Linked DNA regions of Arabidopsis thaliana. The protein of the gene in region 1 interacts with the protein of each later gene in a pairwise test. Each region holds a gene or a part of one and is shown on either strand. Other genes may lie near its edges.

Region 1 (7,897 bases):
TATGGGAGTTCTTGTTTTCTTTTTTTTTGGTTAAATGGGATTTAAGTTGTAACTTTAAAGTAGGAATAAAGTCAAAGGCTCAAAGCCATATCCATAATATGATACATCTTACCAAGACGCATGAAAATTAATGGATCCATATTTCAACGGAACAATGTTTTAAATAACCTAAACTTTCAAAGAACTTTGTAAATTTCAAAGGATATTGGGAGTTTTTTGTTTTTGGTTGGGATTTATGTTTAAAGTATTTTAAAACGCATGAAATTAGGATCCACATTGAACATCTTTTAAAATAAACCTAAACTTCCGATGAACTTTGTATATTGTAACACTCCAATCCAGCCCATTAAGGCCCAAGTACCCTAAATTATGTCGTTGTGTGTTACTTAAAGTCTCACAAGTCACTTAACGCATCTCAATCTTCAACCCTAAAACAGGCAACGAACCTCAGCCACCACTGTCCATCGTGGTTGAGTTCGACGAAGTTTGTTGTTGTGATCCGATCTGATCCTAATGAAGATGAGGAAGGAAACAGTTTCTGGTAGGGGGAGTGAGATTCAATTGTAGTTATACTTCAGCAAGTAAGGCTAGATGAGAGGTGTCGACATCACCCCTAAAGGTATACCTAGCTGCCAAACTCTTTGATTGCCATGCAAGAATCAACAATATCTATAAAAATCCAGTATGCATAATCATCTTTTGAACTGGTTCTTGTGCTAGAGTTACAAAATCCTAGTTGTACTAGTACCAAACTTTTATGACACTTTTTAGCAGCTTGTTTTCGGTCAAGCTTGAAAACATGATCCATGGAAACATAACATCTATTTTTTTTGTAAATCATAAATTTGTTCATATAAAAGAAGATTTAATTATTAATTGCTAATGACTAAGATATTAAAAATTCAATGTTGAAACGTATCGATATTTGGTATGTTATGAGATATGCATACTCACGACATTGTTAATGTTGCAACGTATCGTAATATGCATATTATGACGGGGCAAGTCCGTCTAGTCCTCTTCACTCAGCGTTAGACACATTCGTTTATTCTATGTTTTGTTTGGGAGAGAATAATGAAGTTTCAATCGCCGATCCATACAAACTATTAAGAGCCAGGAAAGCAAATCTTGGCTCCATGAGATTGGCGAGCTTCTCTGACGCACCTAGATTCTTTTGTAAGAGAGGTTTTTTTCCTCTCTCTATCTTCCATTCACATTTGTTTTAATATTGAAACCGACAGTTTGAACCGTATAGGTTATTCTTAAATATTATCTGTCAAGATTCAAGAACAAAATAGCTCGATAGTAATTTTTGATGATCTATACATTGCAAAACATGGAACAGCAATCGTTATAATAAACAAGTTATTATGAAAATGACTATAAACTTACTCACATATCTATAGTGACTAAAATACTGAAATACAAGATGGCTAAATTGTTAATGTTCGTATAATCTGCTCTTACCGTCTTACGTGCATGCAAACATAATAATAATAATAAAAACCAGACAGAAGACTGATCGTTCAACCCGCGGAGAGATCATATCACTTAATACATAAACAGAAAATAACCAAATCTAGTTTTGTTTAGACGACTTTAGAGAAATGGAAAAAGCAAATGAGAGTAAATACGACCTAGGCAAATGGGAGTACAATAGAAAAGTGAAAAGCCATATATGATATATTGAACCTCAGTATTCAAATAAGACTTATGGTAGAAACAGCTAAGATGATAGCAAGAGAAAGCCCCAACTTCTTCAATACGAAACTATCTTGAAACCGAAAACCTTGTTCGTCAACCATATTTTTCTCTTTCTTCTTCTTCCAAATTTTTCTTCTCACGACAGCATTTTCCATCATGAGTATTGTTCCCCGATTGTTACAATCTCCTCTCGTAGGCTGCCTCGAGTAACCTTCACTGCCTCTGTTTTTGTTAGAGTTACCTCGATGAACACAACGCATCAATAGAAGCATAGGAATGAAGCCAATAACATGCGCGAATTTTCTCCATTGTCCAAGAACTGTTGAGCTTACTCCGTTGATTCGCGGATTTATCTTTTTACGGACATGAACCTCCTCTTTTGATGTCATACTATGACAACACTCATTGCCATCCGTCGGATTTATATAAACTATAACGGTTTGCGATGGTACTATCTGTTGGAAGAATGTGTTGGTTACCTGACGAGTTGTGACAAACAATCCATGGCTAACCTCAACTTTTTTTACCACCTCAAAACATGAGGAACTCGTTGTCTCATGATCGTTCTTGTCCAAAAGATTCTCGTTATGTTCGTTTTCCGAAAACTCGAGTGTGAAAGCATCATCCACATCTCCATTGTTGTTGTTAACGTCCATACCATCTTCAACAACAACAAAACAAAAAAATCAAATCCAGAGATGTCAAGAAAGACAACCAAATGTAGAAATCGCGAAGTGAAAGCTACCTTGATCATGATGTTCTTGTTCTTGATTATCATTATGATATCTCCAAATATCTTCTATAGGAATTACCGTTGAGTGTTCTTCAACGAAGCTCTGAAATTTGTAGAATAAATCAAACATATACTTATATTTGATAACATATATATTAACACATAAAATATTTTGCACTTAACATTGTAAAATATCACTACCTTTTCAAGTTCCTTGCTTGATACTCCTACCCATCTCAAGTTTTCAACAAGTCTTTCTTCCTTAAAATTCACATGGTGTTCTTGCATATCTACAGCCTCCACGTTCGCCTCTAGGCATGAGACTTTTTCTCCGGAATAGTTAAAGTCTCCATGGAAGTTCCCGGAAGCAGAACCACCGTCCCATGAGTCTAGACTGTTTCGTGGCTCATGTGAGGCTTGAGCCAATGCTATAATCTTGCTCAACATTTCATCTGTATCGTTAGCTACATTGTTTCCAAAATATTCATTGTGTGTGAGACCTTCTACGTAAAGTGGTGGTACTGGTGGCAACATACGATTTTGTAGTCTTGCACACTCTAACGCTATATCAACCTATTATATGAGGAGAATTCAATGGATAAGAGATTAGTTTGAAAACAAAAGGTTACATATTCACCAATTTTAATTTTGTATTTCTTTGAGATATATAGTTTAAATTTTACCTTCGAGGGAGGATATGAGATTGTTCCATATTGAGACTGAGGTGGGAAGTTGAAGGACGTGTCATGCGACATAAACTGACTCCATTTATTCTCTATCGTTTCCATATCCGACGACGAATTATTACCGAGTTGAGTTAAGCCTCCTGTCTCAGGTGAGACTGGATACCCCGAGTTTTCGAGGTTTTCATACATTCCATCAGAATACAAACAAGTACTAGAAGTAGATTGTTCACTATTAGTCGTTCCTTTGTTCTTCTTCGTACCATGGTGTTGTTCTTCAATTTTGTTGGCTAAAGCACTCTTCTTAAATACTCGACAAAGTGCATAGGCATCCTGAAATGTTTATACATTGGTTTATATTCAAGTTAAGAATCTTAATCTTTTGATAACCTTTTTAAAAGTTAGCTTACCTGTATACCGGATTTAGAGTCACATTCTTGTTCTTCAAGACGGTACTCGTGCATGACCCAATCGGTACGAGAGCCATGAGGCGCTCTTCCTCGGTAATAAACTAATGTTTTCTTTGTTCCAACCATCCGTGAATGTGAAGTCACTTTACGATCTTTCCCGGTGGCTTTCCAGTAACCTGCTTTGGTCGCCCGGTTTGTTCTTGATCCGTTTGGATATTTCCGGTCTCGAGGACTGAAAAAGAACCATTCTAGGTCTTTACTTGGCAGCAAGGACTTCCCTGCAAGGATCATACAATTAAGATAAATTATATCCAATCTTAATTTGTACACACTACTTAAAGATTCCATAACATGTCATGAGAATCCAAAAGATTAAAAAAGAAAAGACAAATAAAGAGAACATTAGATTGTTTTATATTTAAAACAAAAAGTTGAAGGTGAATGAGAAGCTTCCAAAACCCTAAAGCACATGTGAAATTATTGTGAGTTACTTATTATCTTTTTTTTTCAATCTTCTTACCTTTTTTGACTCGGTCTTCCGAATTTGTCTCACACTAGTCACCACCGCATCTCTCGGTTTTATTACAATCCTTTTAAAGACTAAAGATAAGGGTGGGTCCATTTAAATTTTATTCTAACATAAAGTTGGGATCATAATTATTAAAGATTATTTAGTTGATAAAGCATTCACGTTCGATTCCAAGTTCGATGCGTGACTAGAGATACATAACTTGGTACGTAAAAATGTGAAAATAAAATGGGAATTATATTATGTTAAGGAAAAAGAGGGAAAGAACATCTATCTTCGAAAAAGAAAGGACGTCAAGTGTCTCTTCTCTCAAGGGTTACCCTTTCAAACATTAGTTTCACATTATGTAGTTTTCAGAAAAATGAATCTATTTTTCGTTATTCTTACTAAATTCCAAAAAAAAATGATCTTACACTAAGCATATCAATCAAATGATTATGACATATTAGAAAAGAACCAGATAGAGTCTTCTCCTTCGGTTGCTATGGTATGGTCTCATTTAAAATTTCTTTAACATGAGACACAACATGTTGATGTACTAACGATGCAGAATCATAAATTTATACCTTCGTCCATGGTAAATACTTGCGGATGACCAAAAAAAATGATAGATTTGCATCTTATGAAAAAGAAAAAAAAGAAGCAAAGAGAGAAATATACCAGGTAAATCCCAAGGTTCGCATTTGTAAAGATCAATCTCGGGTATTATCTCTAACTCAATAGTCCGACCATTAATCTTTCGCTTGAGGTAGTATATGACAAGCTCTTCGTCTGTTGGATGAAACCGGAAACCTGGAGGCATTGAAACAGGAGCCATGTCCACTGCCTTATACAAACTTCTTAGCTAGAAACAAATATGAACATTTATAGAACTTAAGAGAGAAAAAGGAGAAGAGGGAGGAGAAGGAGTGAGAATATGAAGAGACAGTTATATAAGAAAGAAGCGTAACATAAGGGTTTGAATTCGATCGATCAGTGATGAAATTGTAAGAAAGACAAAAAGAGATTAAAATTATGTAAAAGAAGCTGGAAAAAGCATTTAGGGTCGGTTGCCAATTGCAAACCCCACAACATATTTTCCACTTTAACTTTTCTTTTTACTTTAATGTGTTTATATATTTCCGTGTAAATTTGATTCTCAGTAACGTTCTTAATAAGCTTTTTCGGTATCATGTTCAATGTTGGAAAACTCACGTTCATTATAATTCATCTAAACATGTTTATTTTTGTTCATCCATGCGTAACGTGTTTATGCATATAGACTAGATATTTGTCAATTTCATTTATCAGTTTTGCTCCTAGTGAAAATATTAAAAGTAACCAATTAAAGACAATTTGATAACTATTTTTGCTTGTAAAAACGGATATATATGTATAAACCTATACTAGTTAATAACTTTTGCTCGTCATATTTTTTGGCATCGACCAACGTAAGGACGTGACATATTTGACATATTTATAAGGAATTTTCAACAACTAGAACTTAATGTAAGGTTTTAAGAAAACATAATAAGTAAACTATTTTTTACGTTGTTAATTTTTGAGATGCTTTCTCACTGTTTTCACACATTTTAAGCCACATTTCATAGTCAATTATTACGTTTTCTATAATATAGAATGAAAGTTTTATATTTGATATACATCATTTTATTTTCTATCTCGTGGTCAATGCCTCAATGGTAATATTGAACCAATCGCATTTTGAAGATAGCATGTTAGATATATTTCTACTTACATTTACATACTATGCAAGTCTTCTTCATTGCTCAAAATCACAAACATTTTTCTTAACTCGCATATATATTTCCTAGATGATCATTAAAATATTTTTATTAATCATATATTGGAATTTTTTTCCCAGTATTTTTTTTTCATTTTTTCTTAAATAAAGAAATTTTTCTGCATTACATATATTCACTAACAAACATCAAAATGAATTAAAATACATTCGAAGAAGTAAACTCAAAAGTTAGTTTCATATTTCAGCATCATACTTGTTATAGACCAAAACCTGCTTCTCTTCCCACCATCTTTGTGCTTCCTTCTCTGAAAACCTCTTCCGACTGCAACCAAAGTTAGAAACCAATCATATAAATACTTAAGCGTACTTCAAACTATATAAACACTTAAAAGCACATTAACATTTTTTTACCTAAACCGTACGCGTTTAAGCGTCTTCTGACCGCAAGGCAAGGCCGTGAAAGTTATATATACACCGGGCTCGTATTGCTCAACTTGTTCTGCTGACGAGTCTTGTGTTTCGTTTTGGAGATACCCTGTTCTTGTGATGGCTGGCGATGCATCTACTAATAGCTTAATGTTGCTGTCACGGTTCGAGGATTTCGTGACACATTTCTCTACATGTTGTTTGGTTTCGTGTTGTGAACGAGCTGTGGTGATTGGTGTGAGGTATGGAATGGACATTGAGTCATCAAAGATTGGTGAGACTTGAGAAGGATTGCATGCAATGCCGGTCTTCAGAGGATTACTCGGTTTCTCTTTATTCGCTTGGAGCTGCAAGCAAAGATACCGTGAAAATGTCGGTCACATAACAAACCAAAAACAGAAAGATTAAAAAAAACTATGTATCTTTTACCTTCGATGCCAAGGCTTTTATTATCTCTTTAGCAGCTTTCGATTTCTCTGCTTCTTCTTTAGCAACTTCCCATGTCTTGTCGAGCTCTTGTTGACATTCTTCCATCTTCTCATTGCCAAGTTCACACTGCCTCTGGAGATTTTTTATCTACATGTTCATAAAAATGTATCTTTAGTGTCTAATGTGTTACTATTGTTACAGGTAAGAAAACAAAAAGAAGTAGTTTAATTACCACGGCTTTTAGCCTTTCGATTTCTTCGGTTAAGATCTTATTCGACTCAGACGAGGTTGAAATCTTCGTTGAAGATGTTCGCCTTGCTGAGACTGAAAGATTCAAAGAAGAACTTGTCGAAATCTTATCGAAACGAAACAGAGAAGGACCAGAGACTTGTCCCCATCGAGGCTGTCCATCCGAAGATCGATTAGCTTGTGGAAGATTCTGCATCTCATTCTCTGATTGTTTTTCTGTCAAATCCTCAGATACTCTTCGTGTAACCATCTGCATCCTCGGAGTGTGATTATCCATCTTAACATTTCTTGAAAACTCTGTTATACTCCATAGATGATCAAAGCAAGAATCGCAAACCCGAGAAAGCTTGCTTTTATTCGGTGCTAACGAAGCATTTACCGCTTTCTTGCTACTACATGCATTGCAAAACAATAGACCACAGTTGTAACAGTTATGCTTTCTCCTTGTGAATCCAAAAGCTGATTTGCAAGAACTACAAGCGGTTTGATCATTCAAAGAGATCTCTTTGTGTAAACAGATCGCAGCCGTCAAATTCAACCCGCAAGCTATACTTTCTACCAACCTATCACCTAAAGGCTCAACAAGAACAGGAGAGTTTCTATCTCTAACGTCACCTAAACCAAGTTGTCCATTCATGCCTTTTCCCCAAGTATAAACATTTCCAAATGAAGTTAGAACAGCTACATGATGTGAACCTGAAGCAATATCCTTGACAAATTGTCGTGTTAGATTGCCTAAAACAACATTTACCGACTTATCCTTTGCCCGCGGACATCCTAACTGTCCGTGGATCGAGCTTCCCATTGTATAAACCGTTCCTGAAATGCTTAAAGCAACAGTTAAAGTCCATCCACAAGAGACTTTTATGAAATCATGATCAATGAGTTCAGTAACACAAGTTGGCACAAGCTTTCTCTTGCTATCAGCATGTCCTAACCGTCCTTTATCGCCATCTCCCCAAGTAAACAGCTTTCCACAACTCTTGGCGTTGT
Region 2 (5,903 bases), on another chromosome or scaffold:
CTAGAGCTAGACCACTACCAATGAACTAGAGCTCCGTGGATAAAGCTGATAGAGAATTTTAAACACAGTTTCACCATCCCTAACATAAAACCTCAACATGCCTAAACTTCTAGTCCAGAGCCAAACACTAACATACTTGCCCAAAATTCCAGGATTCCATAGCATCATTTGAAATAAAAAGAAGAAGAAGAAGAAGAATCAGGAAGGGAAGGAAGAACCTTGTCATTCAAATAGTCAACGTTGATAGCAAGATCGGAGAGCTGAATAGTGCCATCACGAAGCTGAATATCGAGCTGATCAAGGTCGATATCACCAAGTATGAGTTTACCCAATTTCTTCTTCAACAGGAATTTGACAACCCTCTTCACCGCCCATCTAGAAAAAGCTTCCTCCGCTGATTTAGCAATGTTCCACGGAAACACCATCTTGTTTGTTTGTTGTTCCCTTCCCCTGCGGGATTAGAGAATCTCTAGTCGAAGACCCTGATTTTGGGATTTGATGAGATTTTAGGGTTTTTCTAAGGGATGGTGACGTGAAGGTTTCTCGTGATTGGATTGCGGAGAGAGAGAGAATCAGAAGGAAGCAAAAAAGTTGAGTAGACTTTCGTCGTCGTCGTCTTCGTCCTACGGGCTTTTGCTTTACCGTGTGGAGGAATAAGTGCCGTCTCTTTCTATTCTTTCTTCCTTAACCGGATCTATTATTGTACCGGTTACTCAAAAACCGGTTCTCAATCCTAATTGGGCTCTAATTAGTTAGTTGATCACATCATAAATTAAGGGGTAAATGCGTCAATTCTCAACGAATTATGTCTTCAATCCCTTATCTTATTATATCAAGCCAGGGTTTATCAACATAATTTTAAAACTGTTTATTTTTAATGGCTTAAATTCCACTACACAAATCTGTAGGTGGCCATTTAGTTATCTGGTTTAGTTTGGTTTAGTTCGGTTATAAAGTTTTTTGGTTTTTGTGTGATTACGATTTATTTTTTGGTTTGGTGGGACTTCTCTTTCAACCTTTTTCTTAAAGTTTGTTTCTCTTTCCCTTATCCAAATCATAAAATATCATGAAATAATCGTAGTTACCAAAATCAAAATATTTAGCCGTAACGTTCCATGTTTGTCTCCATAACAAGACACAAAAACAATCCCCTCATTGCACAACTTCACTGTTCAGCCAAAAAACTCGCAAAAAGCTGTTATGTTAAGTTTTAGTTCATCTTCCCACTCCTTCCATAGAACTAGAAGTCCCATTTAAACCTTCAAACTCTACTTTCTTCCTGCACACATCAATCAACAAATTTAGTTTTATCTTATCGAACAGATATTATTACAAGAGTCAAGAGGTAAATAGATTTGAAACATTATTACCTCGTCTTTTCCTCTTACCACTGCTTCTCAACTGTCTACCTTCTGAAACAGTTTCCTTCTGTTTCTCGTTTGATTCATTATCATTATCTCGATCTTCTTCATTCCCATCTGAATCATCATCATTTACCTCATTCCCATCTGAATCATTGTTTGCATCATCATTTACCCTAATGATATACACCTGGAACAAGCAATATGTTTCAACATCAATGCCAAAGTCTCTCTACCAGGGTGTATTTCAAGATCTCTAAGTAAAACTCCTTTACCTTGAACGTTGTTCGAGCGATAAGGTGAAACACTACAGCATCTCCATCGACTAACTGGTGATCAATGGCGAAACCTCGCCAGCCTCCACTAAGACCGTTCTTCTGAGCAAGGTATTTCGCCTGAGATTCCTCCTCTTCTTCGTCAACCAAAGTCATTATTACATCACGTTTTGGCATATGTGCCTTGCAAAAAGGAAGCGGCAAACCCTGGTTACGAAAACATATGACATCAGTGGACTTTTACATACTACTATGGCTGAGTTTCAGACATCTTTGAATGTTCAAGTTGTTCACTTACCAACCAAAATCCTCCGGTCACGTGTGATTGGAGCATTGGTTTGGTAAAGCTTGCATATTCTGAATCTAAGCTTGACTGGAGCTTCTCTGCCCTGTCGAATGCGTACATTCTTGCGTCGTCCGAAGCATATACCCGATTCAGCAAATCTCTTCTTCGAGAGCTCCTGCAAAGCAAAACACATAACTTATACTGAAAAGTGAAAACAAACATCAAATAGTGTAAGAGAAGTAATGTATTCATAGAGAGTGTGGATTGGTCAACCTTCTTGGCCTCCTCTCCAGTGGTTCTAGCCCAAACTGCGAGTAAGGATCAGATAACTCTGATAATGAGTAATGAGAAACAACTCACGTTTTTATTCAAAAAAAAGAGAAACAACTCACGCAAATTATAACTAAGAAAAATTGCACAAAAAGATCAAACCCACAAATTTCATATCTCATACAAAATCCTTAAGAAATCCTTAAGGAAACTCAAGTAAAGATAAATGGTAGTAAAAGACCTCTTTATAACTTGGAGGTGGACCTTTGGCACGGCTTGATCTCCTGACCTCCGAGAAATCCACTGGAATACGCATCGTTCTTGGCTTTGCCTACATTTCCATAAAAAAAATTGGTTAATTTCAGAAAAAGAAAAGAAGAAATGAGAAGAGAAGAGAAAGGAAACGTTACTGGTGAGGGCTTGGAAGAAGAAGAAGAAGAAGAAGAGACACGAAGAGATTGAGCAAGCTTGTTGAGATTAAGCTCCCCCATTCTCTTCTTGTTCTCTTCCACCCTATTCAAACGAATCTGTTCATAGCTTAGCTCCGATTCCACCATTTCTCTTAGGAATCCGAAACAGAGATAGAGAAACGAAAGAGACAGATCCAAGTCTTGCTTGACTCTTCAATGCGCTTTTGAGTGACCGTTGGGTTTCTTCTTTCACCGCTATGTATGTGTTTATACTTCTCCAATTTTTTTTTTCTTTTTATGTAATAAAAATCTTAATCATTGTGTCTAATCAAACAAATTGAAATTTCAAATTCTCAACAGTGGAAGGTCTGAGTAAGCCTCCATCGTGATACGTGAAGCAGGTATGGGCTTCTTAAAAGACGTTTCTTTTTTTTCCCTCCATAATTAACAATTATTTTGAGATCCCTTAATATTTTTAACTATTTTAAGAAAACATTTGATTTGATCAGTAACGCTTTACAATAATAATAAAAAAAATACTCAAGAAGTTTGTTTATCCATAAACACATTGAAATCAAAAGAATCTACAAAGACAAATCCTGTGGGTTACTAAGGAATAAAGAAACAAACCTGAGACTTTCCTACACCGTTAGGTAAACAAGAACAACCGTTAGCTAAATGATCCCATGTTCTACTGTTGATGCTACAACCTTTAGTTAGATGATGAGCTTTTTTTTCTGGGGGATTTTCACTTCTGTATTTGAATATCGCTTTGGCAGAATTTCCACAATCCATCTTCTTGCTTCTTCAGAATATATCGGATCTTGTAAGTGCTACAAGAAATTTACAAAGGCTGCATCAGTGAAGAAGATACCAGCTCAGTCCAAAAGTAACCCGAAAGCGAAATGTTTTTTTTTACCTATAATATTTTGCGTTTTTGGGCTGAGATTCATCAACTAATTCTGCTGCTTCCTCCAGAAGAGCTTCGATTTCTGCAGCCTCACCAGCAATACCATCTTCGAATATATGTGCTTGCAAAACCTCAAGATGAAGCAGAACGAACCTCCAATAACAGGATTTCGCCTCTGCTGTTTGTGCCAATGTTTGCCACTGCATTAAACAAAGAAATATTGACTCTACCTAAACATTGATGTTCAACTGTAGTAAACTAACATAATTAAGTAAAGGAATAATAGGAGATGTATAGAAACAGTAACCTGGACAAGCATGGATTCATCAAGGACTTCGGAAAGGCTATAAACTTGATGTGTTGGTCCAAGAGCTTCAGCCTTAACATTTTCCCACTGTCTCACAAGCTCTTCCGCTTCTTCTGTATCCATTGGTCTCTTATGCAGTTCTGACGCAGAATGAGACAATGATGTAGCTGATTGACCAGAGCTTTTCAGATACAGGGCATCCGGATGTTCGCCACAATGCATCTTTAACATGTCAATGAGCACTTTGATGTTTCCCACGATACCATTTCTATTCACAGAATCAAGGTTTTTTCTGAAATTCCCAGACTCTGTTTTCCACAGAAAAGAATCTGATTCTGAATGCGGCCTAGCAGAAACCGATATAGGCATACTCTGTAGTCTACCAGACCTAATGCCTGATAGCTTCAGAGAGAAGAACACGGTGCAACCCAGTAAAGCAACAACAGATACCCTTCCGATCAAACTGCTTTGAGAGAGCCACTCATCCCATATTTTATTTTTGTGTACACCAAGGTTCCTCTTCAGTTGAACAGATGGCATACTGGCACTGGTTTCATCATTATTCTTGGCTGATACCACTGGGCTCTGCAAATCTGTTGGTGTCAACTGCTCGACAGCTGTATAAAGATGTTGTGACGAGTTCACGAACTGTGTTGTGGAAAGTGGTCTTTGGTTCGTCTTATGATTCATGATCGAAGGTGACCCCATTTTCTTGTTTTCTGGATATTTCTTTTCAGCCCGGAAAAAATTGGCCTGCAGAAAGTTGTATATATGATTATCTTTCTGCATAAAAATAGAACTGCTATACAGAATCTTCCAGTAGTGATCTGATTCTTACCAAAGATGGAGAACAACCCCTTGTGTCTGGAAAGTTAGCAAGCACGGACTCCATTAGCCACGCTTCCTGGTCAATTTTATAGGTAGCATGTATGAAGGTCGCTATCAATCTTTCTATGAAAAAAAATCAGAGCTAGCGAAGAGATGTACATACTTGCAAAATTTCCAAATTAAATTTAGTGCATGAACCCAAGGGCTTACTCAAACAAATATTAAGATTTATGTGTATGTACAACCAATCGAAAAAGAAAATGTTAACGGCAGGCATACACAATGCTGTTAAAGCATATTCTATGAATTTAACTACCATCCACTAAATGTATCTATTTCCATTGTTTCAATTACAGCCTGAAACATAGCTCAAACTTATTCATACTCCACTAGAGTTGATCATGCCATTTACATCAGGCATAGCCCTCGCTCTAGTCGTAGCAACAAATGAACACATATTCTTGGTAAAAATCATAAGGTTTACCAGTGAGGGAGTAGCAGAAGTACTTCTCGACTCTTTCCCCAAGATCGAATTACGAACGGCAGAGTCTGAATTTGATTCCAGCTGCTTAAGTTTTTCCAGGGCCTCTGCCTCGGAACCCTGTGCTATCCAACATGTAGGTCCAGTAGCACTTAACTAAATGAACAACGCAAGGATCTTTCGAAGCAAGTGAACTTGAAGTAAATAAGATGCACAAGCATAGTTGATAGGGAAAAAGAATAAAGAAAGCAAGAGGAAAAATACCTGTTTTAGAAGAAATGAGCAAAAAGCTTCCTCAAATTTCAGATCAACACCTTCTGATGCTATGAGACATTCGCATATCGTTTTTGCTTTATTAATCTACACAAGCATACTGAATGTTATGCTTTATAAGCAGATAGAGTAGAGAAGAAATGGACCAATCAGTCTAAATTTAACAAAAGGAAAGAAAACGAGATATACCGTTTCATTTTGCTTGCCTGAAAATCCAACAGCGATGTGACCAAGTAACACCATGTAGAAACAATTAAAATCAATAACAACTCTTTGATTGTGGGATTCCAGTGATTTTTTATTTTTCCGTGTAATGGCTAAATCATCCCATGGAAGAAGATCGACAATCTCTGTGGCCAATAACCTGCTAATTGCCTGGCTCAAAAAGCATGGCCAGTCTTGAATTTGACATGAAGCTTCAACACTAAGGCCCTGTCTGAGCAGTTCGCGTAGCGCGGCAATTGCACCTCGCCTCCTCTCTGCATTTTCTGGCGTGCGTGGC

The links. The genes of interacting proteins can lie anywhere in the genome.
Region 2: the proteins of NAC028 (region 1) and AT3G19184 interact in a two-hybrid assay, tested with the Arabidopsis thaliana proteins (one large-scale study listed by BioGRID).

Annotation. Positions count from the first base shown.
Region 1 is NC_003070.9:24,519,233-24,527,129, forward strand, and holds NAC028 (NAC domain containing protein 28), read right to left. Parts: upstream 5,029-7,897; 5' UTR 4,877-5,028; coding exon 4,720-4,876; intron 3,809-4,719; coding exon 3,531-3,808; intron 3,454-3,530; coding exon 3,121-3,453; intron 3,011-3,120; coding exon 2,639-3,010; intron 2,541-2,638; coding exon 2,450-2,540; intron 2,366-2,449; coding exon 1,701-2,365; 3' UTR 1,436-1,700; downstream 1-1,435. Other genes in the region: AT1G65920 (Regulator of chromosome condensation (RCC1) family with FYVE zinc finger domain-containing protein), read right to left, coding at 6,035-6,122, 6,212-6,573, 6,656-6,802, 6,888-7,897.
Region 2 is NC_003074.8:6,634,401-6,640,303, reverse strand, and holds AT3G19184 (AP2/B3-like transcriptional factor family protein), read right to left. Parts: upstream 2,938-5,903; 5' UTR 2,750-2,937; coding exon 2,603-2,749; intron 2,524-2,602; coding exon 2,434-2,523; intron 2,231-2,433; coding exon 2,196-2,230; intron 2,098-2,195; coding exon 1,935-2,097; intron 1,844-1,934; coding exon 1,637-1,843; intron 1,552-1,636; coding exon 1,339-1,551; 3' UTR 1,280-1,338; downstream 1-1,279. Other genes in the region: ATG2 (autophagy 2), read right to left, coding at 219-425; PARC6 (plastid division protein), read right to left, coding at 3,351-3,435, 3,522-3,712, 3,820-4,572, 4,658-4,723, 5,132-5,248, 5,393-5,488, 5,591-5,903.